Cricetulus griseus: one gene and its partner. The protein of the gene in region 1 interacts with the protein of each later gene in a biochemical or structural test. Links are inferred from orthologs where the notes say so. Each region holds a gene or a part of one and is shown in the gene's direction. Other genes may lie near its edges.

What was found.
Region 2: the proteins of Med1 (region 1) and Thra form a complex in vitro, tested with the Homo sapiens proteins (6 studies listed by BioGRID, with this or other methods). The link is inferred for Cricetulus griseus from reciprocal best matches to the Homo sapiens genes MED1 and THRA.

What each region holds. Positions count from the first base shown.
Region 1 is NC_048600.1:111,303,112-111,306,611, reverse strand, and holds part of Med1 (mediator of RNA polymerase II transcription subunit 1), read left to right. Parts: intron 1-2,321; coding exon 2,322-2,400; intron 2,401-3,461; coding exon 3,462-3,500. UniProt on the Homo sapiens protein: Component of the Mediator complex, a coactivator involved in the regulated transcription of nearly all RNA polymerase II-dependent genes.
Region 2 is NC_048600.1:111,850,355-111,853,780, forward strand, and holds the end of Thra (thyroid hormone receptor alpha), read left to right. Parts: intron 1-2,515; coding exon 2,516-2,887; 3' UTR 2,888-2,926; downstream 2,927-3,426. Other genes in the region: Nr1d1 (nuclear receptor subfamily 1 group D member 1), read right to left, coding at 3,244-3,426.

The sequences.
Region 1 (3,500 bases):
GCCACCATGTGGTTGCTGGGAATTGAAGTCAGGACCCCTGGAAGAAGAGACAGTGCTCTTAACCACGGAGCCCTCTCTCTATCCAGCCCCCATCCAAAAAAAATATTTCAATTTCATGCTCTTTTTCTTTTTCTTATTATATAATTTGCTTTGTCTCATACATACTCTAAATTGATTACTTTGTAATCTTCCTGCCTCTGTGACAATTGTTTGTCACCCATTTGTGAACCATCCTTCCCCCATCCCCTTTTTTTAAAAAAAGAATTGGGATTTGTTTATTTTTACTTTCTAGGTTTACTTATATGTTTGAGTGTTTTGTCCTTTTATTTATGTGAACCATGTCAGTACCTGGTGGCTCCGGAGGTCAGAAAAGAACATCTGTTAGATCCTGTGGAACTGGAGTTTCAGATGGTTGTGATAGATGGCTGTGAGTAGCCTTGAGGGGTGGCTGGAGTCAGACCTGGGTCCTCTTGAAAAGCAACAAGTACTTCTTATTTGCTGAGCCATCTCTCCAGCCCCTCCAGCCTTTATTCTTTATTCTCTGACAGGGTATCACTGTATTGCCTGGAACTTGCTATACAGACCATGTAGGCCTTGAAATCACAATGACTCACTGGCTTCTCCCTTCCTAACGCTGGGATTAGAGGTGTGTGTGCCACCACACCTTATAGATTTATTTTCAATTCTGACTCTGAGTGTTTGCCTGTGTGGTCCTAAACTCAGCGTGTGAATGCAATCCCTGTGGATGCTTAGAAGATGGTGTTGGGAATCCTGGCACCAGTTACAGGTTTTGAGCTATCACGTGAGAGCTAGGAACTGGTGAACCCTGGTCCTTTGCAAGTACAGGAAGTGCTGCTTTTAATCACTGAACCATCTCCCTAGCCCCACAGGAAGTTTTCTTTTTTAGGGGGGTGTTCAAGACAGAATTTCTAAGTGTAGCTTTAGAACTTGTCCTAGAACTTGATTTATAGACCCGTTTGGCCCTGATCTCAAAGATCCTCCTTCCTCTGCTTCCTGAGTCCTGGGATTAAAGGCATGCACCACCCGGATGCTTTTTTTTTTTTTTCCTAAGGAGATAGGGTTTCTCTGTGTAGACCTGACTGTCCTGCAGCTCATTTAGTGGACTAGACTGGCCTTGAACTCAGAGATCCACCTGCCTCTGCCTCCTGAGTGCTGGAATTAAAGGGGTGAGCCACCACTGATAAGTGTTTGCTTTGTTTTTTGATGCAGGATCTCAGTTCATAGCCCTACCAGTCTTAGAAACCCTCATAGGTAGACCTGTCTGGCCTTAAACTCACAAACAGAGATTTTCTTGGGATTAAAGGTATTTGTCACCACTGACATGGTGATGTTGTCACTTATAGGAAGTAGATCTCACCAATGACATTTGGATTAGTAACAATACCCCCACCCACAAAGTATGACCTATAGTAGATAGTAGAATACATGGTTTACTATTGCGTGTGAGTGTGGATGTTTTTATCTGTGTGAACTTTTCTTCCTTTGGGTAGGTGGACAGGGTAGCAGGTTGTGGTGTGCACCTCTCATCTCAGTCCAGTGGCAATTCTCGGCTATAGGAGACATTCCAGACCCGAAATTACTTTGGGTTGGTGGGATGGCTCACCAAGAAAAGGGACTTCCTGCTAAGAATGATGGCTCGAATTTGATCTAGAACCCACATGGTGGAAGTACAGAACTAATTCCTAGACAGTATACTCTGAAGTCCATACGTGTGCACACAAGTCTGTCTCATACACACAAATTAATGTTACAAAATAACTCCCCCAGCACTCCCAGTGTTTCAGACTCCTTAATGTGATAGGGCGTTGGAGGTGCACGCCTTTAATCCCAGCACTCAGGAGGCAGAGGCAGGCAGATCTCTGAGTTCAAGGCCAGCCTGATCTATAGAGTAAGTACTAGGACAGGCTCTAAAGCTACACAGAAAATTCCCCTGACTTGCAGTGTCCCAAATCCCAGAATAAATCTAGGCAGGTCTCTGAGTTTGAGGCCAGCGTGGTCTACAGAAAGGTTACACAGAAAAACCCTGTCTCAAAAAACAAACAACAACAAAAAAAGAAAATTAAAAAAAAAAAAAAGACACCCCCCCCTTCCAAAAAAGTTCTCAGAGGGTGGAGGCTGGAGGATCAGAAGTTCAAGGTCATCTTTTGCTAGATAGTGAGGCAAAGCCAGCCTGTGCTAGAAACCTTGTCTCAAAGGAATCTGTAGTCAATTTTCAGTCTGTAACTTCCCTACTATGATAACATGTGTGTTTAACTGAAACATTGATGTTTTTGCTTCAATCATTTTGTGATTTGATATAGGAGAAGAGGGTTGTAATGAGTTCTGGAGGGCATCAGCATTTGGTCAGCTGCTTGGAGACATTGCAGAAGGCTCTCAAAGGTTTGTACACACCTTAACGAAGTATGCTGGTTTTATTAAAACTCACATTAAGGAGGGGAGGCTTTAAGGAAGGGATGATTTTGGGGGATGTCTGACTTTCAAGCCTAAATAGAAATATAAATTAAGAAGTGAGCTTGTTCCTGAAAATTTTTATTGATTTGTTTATGGTGTGTGTGAGAAAGAGACAGAGAGAGAGAGAGAGAGAGAGAGAGAGAGAGAGAGAGAGAGAGAGAGAGAGAGAGAGAGAGCGAGCGCAAGTCTACAGAGGAAGTTCCACGAAAGGCTTCAAAGCTACAGAGAAACTTTCTTTACTGTTTTGGGGAGCTACCAGTTGAACTGAGAGAGTTCAGAGTATTCATCTAAGTGCATGTATGCAAGTAAGCTGTCTGCAAGTACAGAGCCATCTCTTTGCTGTTTTGCTGATTGAAATGGAATCCAAGGCATCATGAATGCTGTGTGTTCTACCATTAAGATACATCCTTAACCCTCTTTATGCTGGTTTTCATATTTATCTTCCTTAACCTATCATTAGTAGATAGCCTAGGTTCATGAGTGTAGCTAGGAGTAGAGGTATAATGCTTGGATCTGTATTAGTTTCATATGGTTTCTCTAATGGATACCTTGACCTAAATAAGAAGTAATAAAAAAGGAGGATGCTGGGCAGTGGTGGCGCACGCCTTTAATCCCAACACTCTGGAGGCAGAGGTCAGCGGATCTTTTGAGTAGATCCTTGGTCTACAGAGTAAGTTCCAGACAGCTCCAAATTATACAAAGAAAAACCAGAAAGAAAAAGAAAAGAAACTCTGTTGGAAAAAAAAACAACAACAAAAAGCAATACACAGCAGTATGTTTCCTTGGTGCTTCTAAATCCAATCCAGTTGACATTGACTATGAAACGTCATACTCGCTGTGCTCAGATCACTTAATTACCTTGTCACCGTATCACCTGATTCATAGGTCACAGCTAAGCTTGGTGCAGATTATAAGCATCTGAACTGTTGGATATGTTTATGGAATATTCTTTATGAGTTCTTTTTCTCCTCTTCCCCATCTTTTCATAGTAACATCCTTGCCAGCAATGACTGATCGCTTGGAATCAA
Region 2 (3,426 bases), about 550 kb from region 1:
ACCCACACACAGGAAAAACTGTGGCCCAGGCTCCTTCCCTCCTCATACCCTGCAGTATTAGCTACAACCCAGATGCTGCTGCAAGGGGGTGGGGGTGGGGGTGGACATGTGTGTCTCCCAGAACCTCCGCCTCTGTGGGACTCTGTTTCCTGTCTATTTTCTGGGCTCCCTTTGCCCTCCTTAGTCCCACTTGATGCACTAACCCAGACGTAGGGCAGGTTGGCACGCAGTGGGAGTTTCTATCAGTGGCACTTAGGGGCCCAGGGGAGGAGGCATTTGGCACTCCTCCTGTTTTCTTTGAAGCTCTTTAGGCCAGCCACCCCTCTGCCCCTGGGAACCTTCTCCCCTCTTCTTTTCTAATTCAGGGACTTTGGCTTGAGCCATCTCCCACCCTCTGGTGAGGAGTGCTCTGTTGGTCTGCGCTTGGGTGAGCTGCCCTCCTCTCCTCCTTCTCCTCCCTTTGGCTACAGCCCACTCCTCTGCAGAGAGAGGGAGGGAGGAGGTGGCCCTCCCATGAGTGGGAGGGATGGGAGGAGAGGGAGAAACAGAGCAGACCAGTGGCCCTGGGCTCAGGGCTGCATGTCGGCAGGGATGGATGGGTGGACATAGATGCCCCCCGGAAGCCATGGGGAATGGGGCAGGGGGCGGGGGAGGGGTGCCAGGGCTTCCTGCGCTTTGCACTATTGGGGCAAAAATGTCTTAAGCAGTGGGGAACCTGCCACCCCACTCTGACCCTCAGCCTGCCACAGCCCCTACACACACACACACACACACACACACACACACACACACACGAGGAAGGCAGTGCTTCACTGTCCCCAGGGCAGTGTCCTCTGCCACTGTTCAGGTGTTCCAACTGGGCAGAGGGCCTGGAGGAGCATCTCCTGTCACCTGTGCATGTGCCTGCCCCACCCCTTGGGGCCCCTGGGCCACCTGTGCTATCTTTGTCTCTATCTTCTTTCTCTCTCCTGGGGTACTGATTTCCATATTCCTCCAGTCCCATGGGTAAACCCTCTCATACCTTCCTCCTATACCTTGGGGCCCAGTGGAGTTCCTGACCTGCCTGCTGTCTCCCTCCTTTCCCTGGCTCCACTCCTCCTTCTCCATTCCCGTTCTCAGCCATGGGCATGGCCTCTTACAGGCACTTGGGAATCCCCCCCTTTCCCCAAGTCATATGAGCTGTGAGCCCCTTCCCCTCAGCCCTTCCCCTTCCCCTCCCCTTCAGCCCTTCCTTCCCCTCAGTGATGTGGAGTGTATGTGTGTTCCTATGTGTGATTGTATGAGTGAGTACATGTTGTGGGGAGGAGCCAGAGAGACTCAGGAGTGCCACGCACCTGCTCTAGAGAGGCAGCTGTCCCAGTCCCTGCTGTGGAAGTGGGGGACAGGGCCCTCTCCTGGGGGCCATTGGTGCTAATGGGGGGTTGGTCTTGGCATGGGTGCTTAGCATGCCTTCCCCCAATGTTGGCCCGGGGCACTAGGGCAGGCCAGGTGGGGCAGCAGGTGCAGTATTGATGGGAGGATGGGTTGCTGGGAGAAGGATGGGGGGGGCCAGGCCAGGACAAGGGGGTGCCAGAGCCATGACCACTACCCTGCCCCTACCACTGCCTCTCCATCTCAGTATTCCCCCCTCCCATCACTTATAACACACATACCTCATCCAGCCTCCTCCCTGCTCAGACTTGGGGAGGGTGGGGGAGGAGGAGCCCCTACCCCTTCCCTGGGTGGTGGGTCTATAGGGCTGGGAGAGGGCAGGGCAGGGCGTGTGACATAGACACCGTCCATTAGGGGGAACGTACTTCCTGCCCTAGGAACTCCTGGGTGGAGGGGGACACTACCCAGAGGCGCTACTGAATGTATGAGAAGCTGGTGCTGGGGTGGGGGGGGGTTATGGCTAGAAAACAGGGAAGGAGATAGGTCCCTTCCCCAGAGAGGGGTGGGACCGGTAGGGGTGACTTGAGGGGCTCCTACTCCTGCCCCACAGTTGACAATCAGTATGTCTGTTATGTGCGATTTTTCACCCCATTGTGTTTTGGGTCAGGATTTTAAAGAAAGATATTTTTATGGTAATTGTTGCTCGTCTATTTTACTATATATTTATGTAATAAATATATGATGAAAATAACTCCCCTGGGCACCCCCCCCTTAGACTTGCGTGCTGTTCCCCCTTATTCTCCCATCTGCTGGCAGAGTACCCACCCCACAAGCTGACCAGATGGAGAGGTGCCCCCCCCAGCCTTGGCAGTAGTCCCCTCTACCCCCCCCCCAAACGAGCACACATCACAGAAGCCAACTCAGCTGTGAACTATTGGATTTGAGACAGGAACAGAACAAATCGGGGGGCTGGAGGAGGGTGGGAGAGCAAGAGTGGTTTAAATAGGGGGGGTGGGGAGCATGGTGATGGGGGTGGGGGAAGAGTTATTTACAAGAAGGCTCAGGGGGCCAGAGGCTCATCTTGGAATATTTTATAACAATATAAATAAGATTCTGGTTTGCTTTTCCTTTTCGTCTCGTAAAGGAGAGAGAAGTGCAGAGTTCGATTCTGTACAAGGGGGCAGCGGCAGAAGGCCGGCCGGGCGGGTCACTGGGCGTCCACCCGGAAGGACAGCAGCTTCTCGGAATGCATGTTGTTCAGGGTCCGCAGGTCCGGCAGCTTGAGCAGCAGCTTGGTGAAGCGGGAAGTCTCCGAGGGCCGGTTCTTCAGCACCAGAGCCCGAAGAGCCCGCAGCAGCGTCTCCTGGAGCTGCTCCACCGAAGCGGAATTCTCCATTCCCGAGCGGTCTGTGGGGAAGACGACAGCAGTGAGGCAGGCTCCCTGAGCTCCTCCTCCTCCTCTGACGAGGACCCGGAGGTCTGCGAGGACCTGGCAGGCAAGGCAGCCTCGCCCTGAGGCCCCTTGGAGGGTGATGGGGGAGGAAAAGGAGGGCGCTACTCCTCCTCCCAGGCCTCTGCCCCAGAGCAGGGCATGCCCAAATGCTGGGAGCAAGGCCACAGGCTGGCCACCTCCCACCCCTCAAGACCACCCTCCCACCCCGAGCAAGCCACATATGGCCAAGCTCCCTTGCTTTTTGCTCTGTAGTACCCCCTGCCTGGGATGCCCTTCCCCCACTATGCCTGGCAGTTATCTTGTCCCTTTGAGGCCCTACTCAAGTGTCACCTCCTTCCCCAGCTCTCCCAGGCAGAAATAGTTGTCTGTGCTTTCTTGGTTCATGCTAATACTGTGACACTTATCTCACTGTTTTATAATTAGTCGGGCATGAGTCTGTTTCCCAAGCTAGACTGTGTCTGAATCATGTCTGTACCCCAGTGCCCAGTGCAGGGCCTGGCATAGAGTAGGTACTCCATAAAAGGTATGTTAAATTGAACTGCGTGTGCCTCCTCCAGGGTCAGGCGAGAGCTTGGCCTACCTGCAGAGACAAGCACCACAGC